Linked DNA regions of Notamacropus eugenii. The protein of the gene in region 1 interacts with the protein of each later gene in a pairwise test. Links are inferred from orthologs where the notes say so. Each region holds a gene or a part of one and is shown in the gene's direction. Other genes may lie near its edges.

What was found.
Region 2: the proteins of SWSAP1 (region 1) and ZSWIM7 interact in binary tests that used the Homo sapiens proteins (3 or more experiments, as listed by UniProt). The link is inferred for Notamacropus eugenii from reciprocal best matches to the Homo sapiens genes SWSAP1 and ZSWIM7.

What each region holds. Positions count from the first base shown.
Region 1 is NC_092875.1:78,509,157-78,519,544, reverse strand, and holds the start of SWSAP1 (ATPase SWSAP1), read left to right. Parts: upstream 1-6,412; 5' UTR 6,413-6,447; coding exon 6,448-6,696; intron 6,697-10,388. UniProt on the Homo sapiens protein: ATPase which is preferentially stimulated by single-stranded DNA and is involved in homologous recombination repair (HRR). Has a DNA-binding activity which is independent of its ATPase activity.
Region 2 is NC_092873.1:42,136,569-42,146,105, reverse strand, and holds the start of ZSWIM7 (zinc finger SWIM domain-containing protein 7), read left to right. Parts: upstream 1-5,533; 5' UTR 5,534-5,601; intron 5,602-5,617; exon of another isoform or gene 5,618-5,923; 5' UTR 5,924-5,929; coding exon 5,930-6,005; intron 6,006-8,367; coding exon 8,368-8,389; intron 8,390-9,537. Other genes in the region: TTC19 (tetratricopeptide repeat protein 19, mitochondrial), read right to left, coding at 949-1,103, 1,967-2,061, 2,606-2,667, 3,188-3,244, 3,532-3,570, 4,111-4,221, 4,713-4,849, 4,966-5,158. UniProt on the Homo sapiens protein: Involved in early stages of the homologous recombination repair (HRR) pathway of double-stranded DNA breaks arising during DNA replication or induced by DNA-damaging agents. Required for meiotic progression, hence for fertility.

The sequences.
Region 1 (10,388 bases):
TGAAGAATTCAGAAAAGTATGAGAAGATTTATGTAAACTGACAGAATGAAGTAAGAACCCAGAAAACAAGACACAAAAACTGCAACAGTAAAATTGGAAAGAAAAAAACCCCAAATATTGCATAATTATAATATCCAAGCTTGAACCAAAGAAGAATGGAAAACATTTCCCTTCTTTGCAGAAATGAATGACTGTAGGCATGTAACATTTCATATGTAATGGGGGACTAGGCAATAAGCTCCCAGTCTTTAAAGAATATATAATATAAGGGCAGTTAGGTGGCGTAGCGAATAGGTCACCAACCCTGGAGTCAGGAGGACCTGGGTTCAAATGTGGCCCCAGACACGTGACACTTGTTACCTATGTAACCTTGGGCAAGTCACTTAGCCCCCACTGCTTTGCCTTCCTCCCTCTAGGAAAAAAATACTTAAAAAAAAGAATACACAATAAACTCTGCCTAATATTAACCCACATGGAGACTTGGGAAGCCTACTCTCTGAACCAAGTAATGGAGGGACCCTTTTCTTTCCCATTTCAGAGCACACATTAGTTCTGTTCTGTTTCCTGTTGGTTTCCGTGTGATCATGGACAGACTTCTAACTGGGTCATGAAGCTTAACTAAGTGTGCATATGCAAGTTTTGAGCAAAGGAACTCTCATTTCCTTCCCAGATGGCTTTTGAGTGAGGAGGAAGAAATGCTATGGGCCTCTGGGTGGCTGGAGGAGGGGCAGTAGCAGTCACCTGCTATGGCAGATTTCTCTCCCCACCAGACCAACTGCATAGCCATGAACACACAATACCTCCATCTCTTCGATCACTTGTGTTTATTCTTTCCTATTCTAGAAATAATGTACCCTATCCTGGTTGTAAATGACTATTTAGAAACAACAGTGATCAGGTTACATTTCTGTGAGCATCAAAATGTTGGAAAAACCAGCAAAGGCCCCCTCAATGACAGGAACCAGGAGTAGACACATCTCTCTCTGGTGAGGAATACCCTGAAAAAAAGTCCTGCTAGACCCAGAAACTAAAGGGATGCACATCAACTGGGGAATGGTCAAACAAATTATGGGATATTGCTGTGCCATAAGAAATGATGAGATGGACAGTCTCAGTGGAAACTGGGAAGCCTTTTAGGAACTGATGTGAACACAACTAGAAGAGCAGTTATACAATGCCAGTAGCACTAGAGAAAAATGTCTTTGAATGACTTGAACACTCTGATCTATGCAGTTATAAACCATGAGTCCAGAAGACGAAGATGAAACACACCAACTACCTCCTGCCAGACAGGAAACATATTTGCCAGGCATGGCCAATGTGGGAAGCTATTTTGCTGGTCTATCCATATCTGTTATGAGGATTTTCTTTCTCAAAATTGTTCAATGTGGGGGCCCCCAAGGAAAATATTTGTACAAAATAAATATTGTTTTTATTTTTTTGTATAGCAATGGAAAGCTTCGATCTATTTTTAATTAATTTATTTTTAGTTTTTAACATGAACTTAAATAAATTTAAAATTTTCTCCGCCTCCCTCTCCTCGCCCCTTCCCAACACAGCATACATTCTGATATAGACTCTCTATATATATTCTTATTAAACATATTTTCAGATTAGTCATGTTGATTAGAAGAATGAGAATGAATGGAAGGAATTATGAAAAAGAAAAAACAAAACAAAACAAAAAAAGAGAGGAAATAGTATGCTTCAATCTGTATTCAGACTTCACAGTTCTTTCTCTGGAAATGGATAGCATTTTTCATCATGAGTCTTTTGGAGTTACTTTAGGTCCTTGCATTGCTTGAGAAGAGCTAAGTCTATCAAAGTCAATCACTGCACACTGTGGCTGTTACTGCGTACAATGTTCTCCTGGTCCTGCTCATTTCACTAAGCATCAGTTCATATAAGTCTTTTTTAGTTTTTCTGAAGTCTGCCTATTCATTATTTCTTACAGCACAATATATTCCATTACGTTCATATATCATAACTTGTTCAATCATTCCCTAAGTGATGGGCATCCCCTTAATTTCCAGTTCTTGGCCACCACAAACATAGCTGCTATAAATATTTTTGTAGATGAATAAATACTTTAAAAAGTGAAAAGTCCTACTAGATCAACATGACCTCTGACAACTGCCATTTATGGTAATGCCTACCTCAAGGCGATTCAGTTCTATATTTCCATCTCTCTTGGATGCCTGAAGATCTAGGGGGTAAAAATAGGAAGGAAAACAGCTACAGTCCCAAGTAGAAAGCTGCCTCACATATGCACTAAACACTGAATAATTTTAGTGGGGAAGGCCATAACAAGTGTGTGAGAGGAGTGGGAGGAATCAAGACAGACTTCTAGTAGCAGGAGGCACTTGAGCAGAAATTTGAAAGAAACCAGAGATTCCAGAGGTTGGGGTGTGAGGGGAGCGCATTCCAGGCACCAGGGGACAGCTTGTACAAAGCCACAGTTGCTAGAGATGGAATGTTTTGCATGACAAAAAGCACGTAAGTCAGTTTGGCTGGAATGTAGAGTGTGTGAGGTGTAGTAAGGTGAAATTAGCCTGGAGATAAAGATTATGAAGAGTTTTAAATGCCAACCAGAAGAGTGTGTATTTTCTTAGAGGTAGTAAGAAGCGTCTGAATCTTCTTGAATAGGAGAGTGACATGTTCATGTCACTAGGAATATTCATTGAGAAGTTGTTTAGAGGTTTGGGCTGGAAAGGAGAGATAATAGAGAGATCAGTTAGGAGGATACTTCAATAATCTAGGCCAAAGGTGATGAAGACCTGAATTGGGGGCGAGGGGTGGCTGAGATTTTGTGGAAACTGACTAGAAATGGAGATGTAAGGGAGAGTAAAGAACTGGAAATGATTCTGAAACTTTAGTCACCTGGGTGATTAGAAGGAATGAATGCATGAATGAATGAAGGAATGAAGTGCTGATTATGTGCAGAGCACTGAACTAAATGTGAGGAATACAAATGTCGCAGCGTTTGCTCTCAAAGACCGCACCTTCTAAATGGGAGAGATGTACACACGGAAGGTTTTAGCTGTAAGTTGGTGTACTAGCAAGCACCCAAGCATACCCAGGATGGCCTGCTAGCACAGGTTCTTTGATCTGCTTTTCTGAAAGAAAGATAACTTCAGAGGGGGTCAACGATCTTACTTTAATTACAGATAAGTAGAAAATACAAGCAGAGAAATGAACACAGAGATTTAACAGACAGGGCTCCAACTGTCTGAACAAAGTAATACAAGTACCTACATATGCCATCAGAGCAGGAGAGCACAAACATTTGAGTAGTGGGGATGGGGGATGGGGAGGAGACTCTTAACAAATCAGAGTCCTGTCCAGGGAATCAAAAGATCCTTCTCATAAGCAAACTCCCAAAGCAAAATCTCAACTCAGAATATATACATATATACACAGACACTTTTGGCTAATAGGCTCAGAACCAGAAGGCATCACAACCCTTGTGACTCAATGCCTAATTAGCTTAGTACCAAAAGGTGTGAAAGCCTTCCTGAAAACAAGCCTCCCCTAAGCAAGCTCTTCCTTAGGCAAGTTCCTCCCCCAGTGGGCTCTATGTGACTCAAGTTTATCACAGCTGGCTGGAGCTCAAAGCTGTAAGATTTCCCTGATTACATAGGTCTATTAATGGATGGGGAAGATCTTCACATTCCATTAACATTACAGTTGGATAGAAAGGTCTATGTCCTTAGGATACAGCAGCAAAGCAGGTGGTAATCACTCTTTTTAAATGTCATTTCCAGTGATAAAATCATATCAGATTCTGATATTGAACCATCTGATAGTACCAAAGACTTGGGTGACAAGAACTTTCTTTTCTGTGTCTTCTGTGGGTAGTACCCACGTATCCCAAGATAATGACTAAAAGCCCTTGCCTGGAAGAATTGCCATTCCTAAAGCTCTGGGATTCAGGGTTCTGGGCTGTTTCCATCAGGATTGGAGGGGATATGGTGGTTACGGTAGAGGTAGTTTGCCCCACCTGGCATATGCTGCCTCTTATCTCTCCCCAAGGGTGCACTGCTACTTCAGCTAGACTGGCTTGCTTGCCCAGTGAGTGACAATTGGTTGACAATTAATAAGGATGCCTGGCTCCTTCTCCACAGGAGTTGCCTCCCCAAATGATGGCTGGTCTGAAAGCAGACCTAATAATCAGGAAGGGTGGTGCCTCTCCCAGGGTTCCTGATCTTCCAGCTGACTGGAAGGATGGTCATACCCTTGGGAGAAATAGGGAAGTTAGGAAGAGGGGTGAGTTTGAAAGGGAAGATAATGAGCTCCATTTTAGACATGTTAAGTTTGAGATTTCTATGAAACATTTAGTTGCAGATGTCCAACATTCATCTGATGAATGTAAGCCTGGAACTCGAGAAATGAAGGCTTGATATATAGACCTGAGAGTCATCTACATAGAGATGATCGTTAAACCCATGGAAGTTGATGAACTTGCCAAAGGAGAAAGAGGGGAGAAAAAAAGAAGAGGGCCCAAGATATGGTCTTGAGGGTAAATGCACAATTAGGGGATGTGACATAGATCAACAACAGAGATTGAAAACAAACAATTACATAGTTAAAAGAAAAAGTTGTTGTTTTTCAGTCATGTCTGACTCTTCACGACCCCATCTGGGGTTTTCTTGGCAAAGATACTAGACTGGTTTGCCATTTCCTTCTTTCAGGTCATTTAATAGATGAGGAAATTGAGGCAAAGAGGGTTAAGTAACTTGCCCAAGGTTACACAACTAGTGTCAGATTTGAACTCATTAAAATGAGTCTTCCTAACTCCAGGCTCAGTGTTCTATCCACTTCACCCTAAAAAAGGAGAATGGGATCACAAAAATCCAGGAGAGAGAGAATCCTGGAGGACAAAACTGCTAACAGCATCAAACATAGCAGAGAAGTCAAGAGGAATGAGGACTGAGAAAAAAGTTAATACGTTGGCAATTAAGAAAACATTGGTTACCTTGGAGAGAGCAATTTCCACTGAATGATGCTGTTGGAAGTGGTTGAGAGGAAAGTGGGGAAAAGTAACATTGCTTTTCCTAGGAGTTTCACTATGAAAAGGAGACATATACATGAGATTCTTGGACTGTTTTTTGGAGTGAATACCTGATTAGCCCACCAAGCGTCCCTCTCCTTGAGCCACTGACCCTCAGTTCTTCTCTGGGTCTTACATAGTATAGCATCCCCAAAGGCTGAAGCATCTCCATTGACCCATAGCAGGTATTAGACTGCTCTTCACATACCAACCAAATTACATGCTAGCACTGGCTAAAGACTAGAAATTTAACCAGGGGATGACACGGAATACTGCTCAAAATGATTAAAAAGCAAGAAATCTCTCATTCTAGTGTGCCTGTTTTACAACTAGAATCTTCTCTCTGCCCTGCCCCCCACCCTCCACCCCCATGTTCACATGGCATAAGCCAGGGGTGGGGAACCTGCAGCCTCAACAAGGTTCTGGATATACATTCAACATACTGTGGCTACATCGCTTATTTTTTAAAAGTGAAAAGAAAAATGTGTTTCCTACATGGTGACTTCTGCTTCCAGCAATCTCCCCAAACTTCTCCTTCTTGTCTTTCCCGTTTCTTTGTGTACAGTCAGGGATTCCTGAACTTCACTGGCCCAAAACCATAGAAAGGGAGTAAGGTGGGAGAGGCATGTGTTTGTATAAACAAGAGATGCCTCCCTCCTGGCTCGCCACTCTGTCCTGGGATCTCAGGGAAGCAAAGGCTTCAGGTACTTGCAGCCGTCTGTCTTTTTTACCCTTTGGTCTAAGCTTCTGCTGACAGGAACTTTAGTGATATGAGATACTTGTTGAATAAAGCTCCTTGTGCATAGGAATCTTTTCCGTGTTTGTCCTCCTATCTCCAGGGCCCTAACACAGCGCTTTCGAGGAGCAGGTACTTAGTAAATTCTTAACTGAGAAACAAACTGGGAGATGTGGTAGAGAGAAAAGATGGAGATTAAATGGACTGCAGAATGCAAGATCAATCAATCAACATTTACTAACCATCTACTACGTGCTAGGCACTGTGCTAGGGATACATACAGGGGCAAAAGAGTCCCTGCCCTCAGACAACATGCAGATACATACAAAGCAAGTTATATGCAGGAAAAATGGGAATATTTAACTGAGGAAAGGCACTGGAGAAGAGACAAAGGAAGGAAAAAGAAAAAGAAGACGTGAGGCTCGGTGATCTAGGAGGGCGCAGTAGGGGGTGCCCTGGAAGACCTTGCCCCCCATTGCAGTCGAGCCTGGGAAGACCACGTGGAGGGACCGCCCATTGGGAGCGTTCGCCCGGCCCCTCCGGCGAGCTACCGAAGTGAACTGAGCCTAGCCAATGGACCGTTTTCAAGGGGGAGGGATTAGCGCAGAGCAGCGCTCTGATTGGCCGCGTGTGCAGCGCAGAGGGAGGGCTGAGAGCGGGCATGGAGGCTCTGAGGGCGCTGCTGAGTCCGGGCGCAGGGGTCGGCGGAGAAGGTTGCGCCGCTGGGAAGGGTACCGGCCTTCTGCTGCTCGGGGAGCCGGGCTCCGGCAAGACGGCGTTGCTGTTCGCGGCTGCCCTGGTGGCAGCGGGGGAGGGTCGGGGCCCAGTGCTGTTTGTGGCTCGCAAGGCCCTCCAGAGCCTCCCTCCAGGATGGAAGGCCGGAGCTGCTAGGGACCCGCTGAGGCTCCAGGTAACTGATAGGCGGAGCTCCAGGGGGCTGGGCCATCTGCGGGGCGGGACTCTGGAGGGGGAGGAGCTCTGTGGTGAGGAGGCGGAGCCATCTGTGGAGCGGAGCTCTGGAAGGGGCGGGGCTCTGGGATGGAGTCACCCACCATCTCTTAAGTGCCCAGGGTGTGTCAGGCGCGGTGCTAGTTGTTGTGGATACAAAAACAGAAAAACCCAGCCCTTGCCTTCCAAGAGAGGCAGATCCCTACGTAACACATGCAGGACAAACACAAAAGAAATACCAGGCAGGTGGTGGGCGCTGAGACTTGTAGGAGTATGTAGGCTGGAGATGAGTCTCGATGAAGGTCCGGGAATCTCCGAGGCAGAGATGCGGAGCAAGTGCACTCCATACATGGAGGTGCAGCCATTGCAAAGACACAGGGACACATTGTGTGAGCAGCAGCAGGAGGAGCCTGGTTGGATGGGAACAGTGTATAGTGGGGCTGGAAAAATAGGTTGGGACTAGGTTGTGAAGGGCCGAACAGAGCAGTTTGTGTTTTTATTCTAGAGGCAATAAGGAGCCACTGGATTTTAATGAGTTGGGGAATAATAATATGGGCGTTTGGCAACTTTGTGGGGGACAGATTTAAAGTGGGGAGGGACTTGAAGCCTCAAACGCAGTCAGAAAAGGAGCAGACACTGGTCATAGTCTCCCTACTTAATTCTCCCCCTGCCCTGAGGCTGGCAGATTGCTACCTCCTGCTCCACTAATCCCTATGTTTCATAGTTTCTACCTGCCTTGGGGGAAATCTCTTTCCCCTGGTGTCCCCCTGAATGCTCATCCCTATACAACTCAGCCCAATTTCTTTCCCTCCTCTGCTTTTCCCTTCCACTGTGCTCTGTAGAATGTCCACTCATTTTGTTAACAAACTCCTCCTCTTTCCCTCCTATTCTTTCTACCTTCAGGTAGTAACTCAAGCCTTGCTTTATCCTGAGGGCAGCATATGTCTTGTGACCATCTCCAGTCTTGGCCAATGTCTCATGCCTCTTGATACTCGGGGCCAGGAGTCATGCACTTTGAGACTCTCTCTCTGCACCAGTTCTCAGCGACCTTTCCATTTTAAATTTCCATCATCCGGACGCTATCCAGGTGTTTGTTGCTGTTATGTGCTGAGCTCCAGATCACGTTTTTTCCTTCCTCCAGGAGTTGAGGACTTGGCTCATGGTTCATGCCAACAAACTTTATAATGTCCTGGTCTCCCAGTTCATTAATCTTTTCAACTCCCATCAACTCTGACTGTACTCTGTCAAACTATAGGGGTGCTGACAACTTAGATTTCACCCTCACCTAAAACTTTTCCGTTTCCATGATTTTGGTGTATTGGAAAGATTGCTGAATTTGGAGTTAAGGGACATAGGTACTTCTGTACCTGACACTGGTACTTCTCTGTTACCTTTAACAAACAAATCACTTCATAACTCTGGACCTCAATTTCCCCATGTAAAAAATGAGGTTAGATGAGATGATCCATTTGCTCTAAAATCTGCAATCCTTTGATTTTAAGGACTTGATAACCTCTAAGGTCCCTCCCAACCTATTCTTCCTTCCTACCCTGCTCTGTACCTCTTCACCCCACCCTACGTCCATCTTGTCTACTCTGATCTGATCTCGCTCTTCCCTTCTCGCTTTTCAGCCATTTCATTTGTCTTCAACCTAAGCTTTATTTTGGAGATTTGCCTGGAGTAAAACTCTGGGATAGGGGCAAAACAAGCCAGAAAGATAAGATACCACTTTGGGGTTAGACTTTCCCCCGAAGGATGTCACCCAGGCCTTGCGACCTAGGGATTTTAGGGGAGGGTTCTGGTCTGTGGTCACACTTGAGAGCTCAGCTCAAGAGCTGCGTCTTCCTGAGCCTTCCGTCAAATTAAAAAGTTACCTTGTAATTATCTTATGTTTTGTATTGATTTCTCTATATCTGTTTTTTTCCTCCTAGTAGCATGTAAAGATATTAAAGATAGGGACTCTAGTTTTAGTCTCTGTACCCCTATCCTCTAGCACAGTACCTGATTGGTTGATCTTTGATCTTTCCTTATCCACTGACTTCTTCCCTGCAGTCTATAGATAGGCCAGTATCTCCTCTATCCTTAAAAAACCTTCTCATGACCCTGCCATCTGCTCAAATTATTATCCTCTATCTATATTCCCTTTGACTTGATCAAACAGACTCCTAGAAAGGGCATTCTGCACCAGAGGTGTCAAATTCATGGCCTACAAACCTCCCCAGTGGGGGCTGAACATTGATTAAAATGTAGCTGGCAAAGGTTTAACAAAATAAAGCTTAAAATACAACATAATGTGAATTTGTGGTTTTCCAAGTTGACATGCAGTGTTGAGTTTAACCCTGCTAGTCTACAGCCCTTGCCTTCATTTCTTTCCCCGATTTCCAACACCTCCTGGCCTAGTTTTCAGCCCAAACACTTGAATGACACTGCTCTCCCAAAAATGTGATGAACCCTTTTTTTCTTAAGAAAAAAATATTCTGAATGTAACAAACACCAAACAAAATGGGTGTGTCTGTTCTTGTATTTGAACTCAATTTGAGTTCAATTTGAATTTGAACTCAGGTCTTCCTGACTTCAGGCCCAACACTGTCCACTTCCACACATAATGATATACTTGCAAAGTTGATTTTTTTTTAACCCAAGACTCCATGTTCATATCTATCAAATTTCATCATATTAAGATTTAGCTCAACAGTCTAGCTAGTTGAATCTTTTTGGATCCCAACTTTGTCATTCAATGCCTTAACTATCGCTCCTGGCCTTGTATCCTGTGTAAATTCAGTAAGAATTTACTGAATTGCCTTTATCCAAATCATTGATTAAAAAGTTAAATAGCACATATTCCTGGGTTACTTAGAAGAAACCTTGACCCTCTACTTAACCTGTTCTACCAAACAATGCCCTCTAACCTTGAGTCACTTTCATGCTGACTTTCTCAACTGACCCATCCTCCCTCAAGACCATTCTCACCATCTGCCTTCTCAGGTCGGATTGGGATTGCCGAGCCAATGAATGCTGACACTATCTTTGCTGGGTCCTCCAGAGATCTGTATTCTCTAACTTCAGCTGGATCCTCCCTGCTGCATGACAGTCAGTCCTTTTAGACTGACCACATTCCCCATGGAGGCTGGTCCAGACTTCTTTCAGCAAGTCCCTAGCCCTATCCACATGATCTGGCCTCCCTCTTTGATTAATGTCACCTATTGTTCCTCCACACCTGGAAACCTTTTTCTGTCTCCCCAACATCTGTTCTTTGTGTTTCAGTCACAGAAAGATGTGACCCTTTCCTTGTTATGACTGACCAGTCCCTCTCCTTGTACCTTTGATTACATCCCCCACCATCTTTGTTGAAAGAGGAGCCTTCTCTTTCTTTCACTGTCAGCCTCTCCCTATCATACCTACAGTCATGCTCAGGTCACCCTTAGCCTTAAACGTCCTTCTTGACCCTCCCATCCCCTTGAGAGATTATTTCTCTGCTCCTTCACTGCTGAACTCCTAGAAAGAATCATGTACATTCACTTCATTTCCTTACTCCCCATTTACTCCTCAACCCCTCATAACCTTGGCTTCTAACTATTCTACTTGAGAAACCTTCTCTCTTGAAGGTGACAGGTCAAATCTTAACAGGTCAATGGCATGGTCTGTTCTCAGCCC
Region 2 (9,537 bases), on another chromosome or scaffold:
ACAGACAGAAAAACTAGATGCTTTACACACTAGGAAAATGCCTTCAGTACTCTGTATACAGTTTTGACAAGCAGAGTTACAGAACCTATCCCCCAAACAAGGAAGGAAACAAAAGCTAAGTGGGGCCATTTGGTGTAGGAAGCTGCCCCAGGATTCAGCATAATAACTGGGGTTCAGAAGGCTCTTCAGTTTTAAGGAAAAGCTTAAATTGTGTCCAACTGTTGGAGGAGGCGGAGAAGCCCAAACAGCTTCAGAAGCTGCGGACAGCTTAAGGAAGTAGGCTCACCCTTGTCCTCAACAACACAAACCACTCGATTCTCCAATTCAACCAGATAAAGCCATCACATACTATTGGTCTGAGATTTGCTTCTCAAATTTCCTGCTCACCTTATGCTGGAACTTAGTGAAAATGTCTACACTGACCACCTCCATCACTTCCCCTCTCACCTCCTCCAGGCTTCAGACTATTTTTATCATTTTTTTGGTTCTTTCTCTGGAGAGTTTCCAGCTCTACTTGGGCTTTCTATAAGTGTGGTAAACAGCAGGGACATGCTGGCTGGCAAAGGAAAACCTAGCCTGGTTCTGAACAAGAAGGGGATGTGTTCTATTTGATTTCTAGAGCCCCTCTGACGATAGTCAGCATGGTACTGGTCTTTCTGGCTACAGCAACACCAACAGCCCATGTCTTCAGGGAACAACTCCCCCCAGAATAACTCAGGGAATAAGTTACTTCACCCACACTCAGACCAAAGGTCATCTATTCCAGTTTTACTCACTGATCCAAAAGCAGTTCTATCTCTTCCCATTCTTCCTTCTAACAGTATAGCATTTCCTATTCTGAATGTAGAAATTTCACCTTAGACTTCTTCACCCTGATTTTTAAGGCAGGATAATGAACGCACAGCCCTCTACCAATAAGCCACCAAGGTAGCAAGCAGCAGTTGTCACCTGTGGGTGTCTTTCTCCTCGTATCTCTCTGGAAATCTGCAACGCTTTTTCGTACATTTTTTGTGCATCAGACAGTCGGCTGATATCAAGGAGGTATCGAGCATAGGAGTCATAGCACATGCCCAGAAGGAGATGAGTATTGGCTTTCTCTTCAGCTAAAAATCAAGCAAGACCATGTGGATGGAAGGGAAATGAGAGATCGTCCCTCCCTCCCAGCTTCCGATGCCATGGCCTCATTCCCTTGTGAATCAACCCATCAGTCCCTGAGAATCCCAGCTCCTAGATATCAATGTGAGACAAGCAGCAGCATCACTGCACTGCCACTACCAGGACCCATGTAATTATACCCCAATCTCAGAATCAAAGTAGGTTCTATTCATTCATTGATGAAAACTGCTGTCAAGAGAGTTGGGACAGTTAATGGTCACTTGCCCATGGAAGGCAGAAATGGTTTAGATACCTAGAAACTGACTTAGAGTTAACTTCCAGACTTTATTTTTTGCAGTTATTAAGTATCTGATGGTCTGGAAATTCCCCATACTTCAAACTGAATTCAGGAGTTAAAGTTTCCCACATTATTCATCCTACTTCCAGTTAATTAATCTATTAACTTGCTGGCGTTGGAAAGTTTGAACTTTAACACATTAGCCAGAGAAATTCTGTCCTTTCTGAGTTTGCTACATGCCTGACTCCCATTTTTTGGAGGTTAAGAAATTAGGTATTTTAAATTAAAAGATCCAGACTTGCAGCTGAGCTGAGTACAGGAAGGAAAACATCAATGTCTTCCTCTTTCAGCTTCCTAAAGGATCGTGGGCTGTATGCTCATTAAAAGGTGGCAGTGAAAGTGGCCATATCTGCTCAGTGATTGTCTCCAAAGCAATAGCAGAAAATACAAACCACTTTCTGATCAGTACCCAAAGTACATAATTCATCTCTCTTCCACTTTAACTAAGAAACTTCCTTCTCTTTTCTGCAGTGCATTAGGAAATCCCTCTCAGGTGAGACCTGGATTCCTTACCTGGCATAATTTCTTCTGTTAATGCCTTCTCTCTTGTGATTTTTCTCTCCAGGGTTGAAATGCAGAACTCGTAGCCAGCAAAAGCAAATTCCTGTCTGTAATGCAAAGAGCAGGGACGAGCAGTTCACCTTCAAGCTCCCTGACATTCTGCAGGGGGATCAGGGTCAGACTTCTCTTTCGTCCAACTAAGGCTTGAGTCACCACCAGAAAGGGACGTGTGAAATGGGAAGATGGCAATAAGTCAAGGCTCTCAGAGCTCCTACCCACTCACCACTCAAACCTCCTCTCTTAAAAAGTTTTTTGAGGGATATGTACCAGGTGCATTACCACACAATTTCTGTGATGGAGATATTCCAATTCTGACACTGATCAATTGTTTGCAGCTGAGTCAGACTCTGTAAATGTTTTTCCCCTGGCCATGAAAGCAGCATATCAATCCAAGCCCATATGATAAAGTAGGCCACAGCCAAACTGAAATGAATTTCTGGGATGCCAGACAAAGTTGATGGTTTCTGACCCTCTGAAAAGCAGGTAGTTTTACAAGAGTGTTTTTTCCGACATCCCAAGTCAAAAGTCTTCCCTCCAGCACCAAGCCTGCCCTGTGAGGCCTGCTATCCTAAGGGCCCTACCTTAACTTACCTTTTCAGAGTAGCATAGATACTGGCCAACTTTAGGGATATTTCAATTATTGCATTGTCCTCCTATTGGAAGAAAAAGACATTTAAAGACAATTCCTTCCGAGATCATTTTAGGTAATAATCACTGTCATTTATATAACATGCTAAGGCTTACACAGACCATCATTTAAATTACCTGGTTTTAGCTCATAATAACCCTGTGGGGATACATTTTTCAGATCAGGAAACTGAGCCTGAAAGGTTAACTGACTTGTCCAAAGTCCTACTGTTGGCTCTGACCCTAAGTCTCCCTCTAGCACTCCAAGTACCAACCCGTATCATATGACCTCATGCATCAGGGTACTGCCTCATGGTCTGTGTGTTCCTCATTGTCACAGTTAAAAGCTCAATTAAGAAACCACTACACTCCTGGCATATCAGGCAGCATGGCTGCAGGCTGGCATTCCTATTTTGAGGTGGAAGATGGAGAATTAGAAGGGTGGTTTTACTGTGGTTAGACATAAAATATACACTAAGAGAAATGCCCTTTCATGAAGATGCTAATTTGGAACCACTCACAGTTAACAAAAATTACTATTCTTACCTGCTTCATGCCTCCAATCAGGAGATGGCTCATTGTTGCTTTAAAAAGCTTTTCTGCCTAAAATAAGAAATTGTATAAGTGGTCCCACCATTCCACAAAGGGTCACAGAAAACACTAGGATGAGGGTTCCCAACAAGGGGTTTACAGAATAACTCTCTAAAAGGACATTAAGAGGTGACAGAAGATGGCAGGGCTCCTGAGCTTATCTATTTATAGATCTTAAGGAACGCTGTGATACAGTACGACTTCAACTTAAATGAGTTCATCTGATCTCCAGACAAAGATCTCCTGGAATTTCAAGCCTAATTTTTCATGATTCAGAGTCTAATAAAACACTTGCTTACTTTTTCAAGCTGATTCCTCATGAACGCTAAATTAGCCATCTGTAAAGGAAAGAGAAGTCAAATCAACATTACTTTTCCAATTGGTGCACTGCCTCCATCATTTTTATCAGAATCTAAGACCTTTTCCCCTCTATTTTCTTAAAGTGAGAGATGAGTATGACCAAAGGACCATCACTAACTAGAAGTCATCACTGCACAAGGAGACTGATGGGCATATATTTCAAACCGTGCTGATAAAGACCAGGCTAGCACTTAACCATTTCTTAAAATTCCCTGAATATTTACAGAAGTATTAATATGTAGTGGAGCATTCTGGTGAATTTTCAGCTCCTCCTACAATGCTTGACACACAGTAGGCTCTTCGTAACTGCTTGCGGATTGACTATGCATAAGAATTGAGCTTATAATCATCAACAACCCCCTCCAACGTTGAAATTAAACTCATCTGACAGATGGAAAAAGCGAGAAACCTAAAAGTCAACTTATATGTTTTGTCCTCTTGAGACCCAGAAACAGAAAGCAGGAGGCTTAGCAAGCCCTCTCCTGCTTTTGGCCCAGCAACAGTATGAGAAGAATTACCATATCATAGGTGTAGATGATGGCCTTCTTGATATCTGCCTTATGAGCAAGATGAAGGGCCTCGTGTAAAATGCGCTCTGCCTCCTCCGGGTCCTTTTTCATAATACTCAGCTGCAGGCAGAGAGTGCAAAGGAAAACATCAAAGGAGGGACAGCAATGCAACCTGGCTAGTGATTTTATATATACGTACATATATATGTATATGTGTGTATGTATGTATGTGTGCATGTGTGTACATGCGTGTGTATGTGTGCGCACGTGTACATGCATGCATGCGTGTATGGGTGTGCACATACATATGTATAAACGTACATATGTAAGTATATTATATACTTTTCTTTATTTCCTTAAATATTCCCCCATTACATTAAAAAACTAACCCTCCCCGCCTCGGCCCCCCCCTTTCTCCCCGAGAAGGCAGGGGGGAAGCTGACTGCGCACGTGGCGTCAGGCACACGTTATTTCCACCTTTATTCCGCCCAGCTCTTACCACGGATGGTCTCGGGGGCGGGCGGTGGGCTGGAGGGAGGCCCCCGGGCCTGGGGACGCTGGAGGGCGGCATTTCCCCCCTCCCCGCAGGTCTTCACGGGGGGCCTCCTCACCTTGGCCCGCTTGAGCATTTCGATGATCCTGAGCTCGGTCTCGGAGGGCGGGCTCTCCACCTCCTCGTCTTCCTCCTCCTCCTCCTCCTCCTCCTCCACCTCGGCGGGGGCGCTTTTGAAGAACCACGACAAGGCTGCTGGCGAGAGGGGGCGGGCCCGGTCACCACGGCAACGCAGCGCCGTCCCCACGGCAACGCGCGCCCCGCCGCCCCCCGCCGCCCCCGGCTCCCGCCCGCGCCGGGCCCCGGCTCACCCGCCAGCGCCACCACGCACAGCCCGCGGGCGGAGCGGCCCTGTCCGAGGCGGGAGGGCTTGGCGGCCACGTCGGCGCTTCGCCGGCCGCCGCCGCGGGGCCCCGCCAGCAGCAGCCGCGCGTAGCCCCTCCGACGCCGGCCCGCGGCCGCCAAGAGGCCCCGGCCGAGGCTGCGACTCAGCGGGCCCCACATCCCGGGCTCCGTCCGCGTCCGGAAGGAGCGGGCGGCTCGGGACAGCGAGTCACGCGGCCGCCTTCCGGCCTCGGCAGCTTCTCCCGGAGGAGCCGGGCGCGCAGGGGGGGCCCCGGGAGGACGGGGGTGGGGGGAGGCCCGGCCGTGGCACCGGCCTCGCAGCTCCAGCTCCGACACTCCGGGGGAGCCGCCGGCAGCTAGGCAGGCCGGCCCAGGCTCCGCCCTCTCCCCTCCCCGGGCCCCGCCTTCGGCCCTACCACGTGCCCAGGAGTCCCGCCCCCCGTGTCGTGGAAGCTTCCCCGGCCCCCTACTTCCGGGGACGGAGGCCGAACGGCCCCAAACCTTTCGCCTCCGACCTAGAAGGCCGCGGTGTTCCCGTTTCCGGGCTTGCGTAAGAACCCTGGGGCACGTGACCTGGAGGGGCAGGAACTACATCTCCCAGGGTGCGTAGCGCCTAGCCTAAGAAGCCGGGGCCGCTGGAGCTCAGGGAGGGCGGGAGCGGGAACCCTAGAGGGTGAGTCCCAACCCCGAGTGACCCTAGAACCCCGGAGTCCGGGATAGATCTTGGCCTCGAGTGCCCCTCGCGCAGGTCCGACCTTCCCCTCTCCCACCCCGCGGGTTTTCAAGAGTCCAGCCCCCAGGTTTGACAGATGAGGAAACTGAGGCCTGGAGGGGCGGCTAAGGCCCCCTACGTGAGCCGCAGGGTCGGGATGTGACCCCGGGGCTGACCCGCGCTTGGAGATCCACTTGTGTCCCTGCCCCCAGGATGCCATGGAGGCCACGCTGCCCGCGGTGCTGGAGGCGGTGCTGGGCGAGATTGCGGCCACGCGCGGGGAGGCGACTCGAGGTAGGGGGGCGTCCCGGGGCAGCCGCTGGCCCTCGGGACCCCAGGACCGGCCGGCCGAGCCCGGGGAGGGGGTGGGGTGCGGGGCAGGAACCTCCTGGGGGCGGCTCTTCCCTCAGTGACCAGCAGAGGATGCCCCTGGCCAAGGAACCCTGCTGCCTGTTGCTGCGGTCTGAGAGGGCGGGGGCCTGGGTGCGAATGCTGCCGGGGCCGCCGAGGAGGCCTGTCAGACGGGGCGGGTTCTGCCCACGTGTATCCATTCAGTGACAGAGAATCGTAAGGAACATACGAGCGAGCCTGTGCGGTTCGGCGTCTGCCCTCTGCCCGCACCGCACAGGGCTTGCCCGGTGCCTCTCTGTGCCCGGGATGGGAGGGGAGGGTCCTTCCGACGGGGCTGTGGCTGTGCCCGTGCCCTGCAGATCCGAGGCCCACCGACGGGGCCCGGCCACCCCTCCTCGGAACACTCAACCGAGCTTTGTTCTTTGTCCCCCTCGGAGAGCGGGGACTGTCCTTCTTAGGGGGGCCCAGCACACGGGAAGCATCTGACAGGTGTTTTTTCATTCATTCCATTCATTCATTACTGTGTGCTTGGCCGTATGCTAAATACGCCTACCTTCAAGGAGATTATACTATATATTATATTATTATAACATATATAACATAATATAATTATATATCCAATTATATTACATAAGGGGAAACACACACCTAGAGGAGCCATGACCAGGAAAGGGGGCTTTGGTCTGGGAAGTCCCGGTGGAACCCCAGAGCAGTTGCCTTTTCCAGAGGCTGTGCGAAGGCCGATTTATTTACAGTGCCCAGAGCCAGAGTGGAAGCAGGGAACAGGGTGGCCATACTTGACCAACAGCAAGTCCTGAAATGGCCTGGATCAAAGGGCACTCTCATCCAACTGGCCAGCCAGGCTGGGGGAGTGGGGAGTGTCACTGAGCTGAAGATAAGTTATAGGTACAGTAAGGTTGTCCAGACCAACTCCCTCATTTTACAGAGAAAGAAACTGAGGCTCAAAGAGTTAAGGGATTTGCTTGAGGCCACACTAGTAAATAGTGTTGTTTTTTAATGTGTGTATATACCATGTATCCACAATATGAGTGTATAGACAGTATATATACATCTATTATATATGCACACAAATTTGATATATAAACCCTTGCCTCTAGTTTTTCAATTGATCTTATTTTTACGAGTAGCTTTCATTTTTCCATCCCCTTCATTTCCAGATGTCTCTTCTCCCTCCCCACCTAGTGAGCCATCCTTCATAGCAAAGATTAGCCATGAAATAGAGCATTTCAGCCAAACCAGCCACCGCCTCAGCAATGCCTGAAGATAGCTTCTGCATTCATCCACATCCAATCCCCCGCTTCTGCAAAGGGGTGACCCCATGTTTCCTCTGCTCTTCCAAATGTCTGTTTAAAAATGGTTTGGTGTTGCATTAGTATCATTCAAAGAGACGTTGCCATTTTCAAGGGAGTGCTCAAGAACAAATCAACTCCCTTTGTCTGGTTTTTAGTCAAAACGGCTGTGAGTGAATGTGCTTAAAAGGATCCACTGGTATCAGTTGCTCGTGTATTCTGATCCCAGAAAGAAAAACAGCTGACTTTTTCTGAACTCCTCCAGTGAGAGAAACTACTGTTGTTTCCTACGGAAAGCAGATTGTTTTCCAGGATGAAAACCCACCCAGACATTCAATGGCTCCCTATTGCTTACTGATTGAAAGTTTAGGGAATTGCAACTTAGGGATATGACCTAGGAGTCCACCTGGCATCTTCCTGGCTCCGGATTTCAGGGTGGAGGCGAGAGTGGAGCAGCTAGTTGGCACAGTGACTAGAGCATTGGGCTTGGAATCAGGAAGACATTTTCCTGAGTTCAAATCTGCCCTCAGATACTTACTAGCTGTGTGACCCTGGGCAAGTCACTTCACCCTACTGGTATCATTTTCCTCAGATGTAAAATGAGCTGGAGAAGGAAAATCCCAAATGGGGTCACAGAGTTGGACACGACTGAAACAATGGAGCATTTTAATTTCTTCACAATCCCTTTTCCTTTGCACATTGTTAAACCCTTTCTCGTAAGAGTTTAAAATCTCTGTGGAAAAGTTAAAGAAATGAGAATTGGTTGCAGAGATGACCCTTTATCCAGATTTTATACTCTTAAGCAGTGAAGTCCATTCACTGGCTTTTTCATAATTCTAATCCTGTTGGGAAGGAGGTGGAAATTGAAAAGGCCTCCCTTGTGGAGGTGAGGTTGTAGGGCTTATAAGGCCTTCATTGCTAAGGATCAACATGTGGGCTCATCAGTTAGCATTCAGGAAGGTGACTGATTTTTCTTCCCCTTTTTTGTTTTGCAGTGCCTGATGAACTCCTCTTGGCGTGAGTATTTGCCCTTTTGAATTTGGGGGGAACTTTGATTGTCAGTGATGCTGGAGTACGATGCTTTTCATAGATCTGAACTTGTCATTCGTTACGAGGTCAGACATTCTATGGCTCCCTATTGTTTGTTAACAAAAGCTTAAACTTCACCTGGCACTCCCAGCTCTTCACAATTTTGTGCCACAGTCTTTCTAGCCTCCATTTGTTCCATCCAGATTGGACTACTATCCTCTCCCAACACCCCTGGAATAAATAAACAAACAAATAAAAAACTTAACCTCCTTGCCTTCCTGCACACCACTTCCTCTAGTTGGAATTCCCTTCCTTCCTTTTCTGCCTAGTGAATTCCTATCCATCCATTAAAGCCCACCTCAAATGCTGCTTCCTTCAGGAAGCTTTCCCCAGTTCTTCTCTCCCTACCCTCAGTGGAAAATGATCTTCCCTCAACACCTATGTGTGTGTGTGTGTGTGTGTGTGTGTGTGTGTGTGTGTGTGTGTGTGTGTGTGTGAAGCTTTCTGTATTGAAGTCTTACTCTTCTTGACGGGAAGTCCCATGAAGGCAGGGATCATGTCTTTTCTAACCTTTAAATCAATAAATTAACTAATAAGCACTTATTAAGCACTCACTTCATGCCAAACACTGTCCTGGGCTATGGAGATATAAGACAAAAGGGAATCAGTGCCTGCCCTTATGGAGCAGTGGGGTCATGGTAGATGAGACACTATGCACAGATGGGCCTGTACACAATACTAGGTGTTTGGTGAGGTGTGGGGGAGTTAGGAAAGGTCACTGGAGAAGAAAGGAACCCAAATTTGGAAAGAGATGAGATAGTTTAACAAGTGACTGTGCAAAAGGAGTGCATTCTGGGTATTGGGGACAGCCAGTGCAATGGCATGGAGATGAGCTGGTGTGGAGGCCTTGGACATAATGAGAGGGGTCAGGCACCAGGGGCTCTGGGCAGGTGGAATAAATAAGACTTAGCGCTGCTTGGGTGAGGGGGAAGGAGGAACTGAGGATGACTCGAGATGCCAGCCTGGGGATTGGGAGGATAGGAGTGCCCCCAACAGAAACAAGTTTGGGGGAAAGCTTCCGAGTTCTGCTCCAGACATGCTGAATTTGAGATGCCTTTGGGATGACCAAGAGGAGA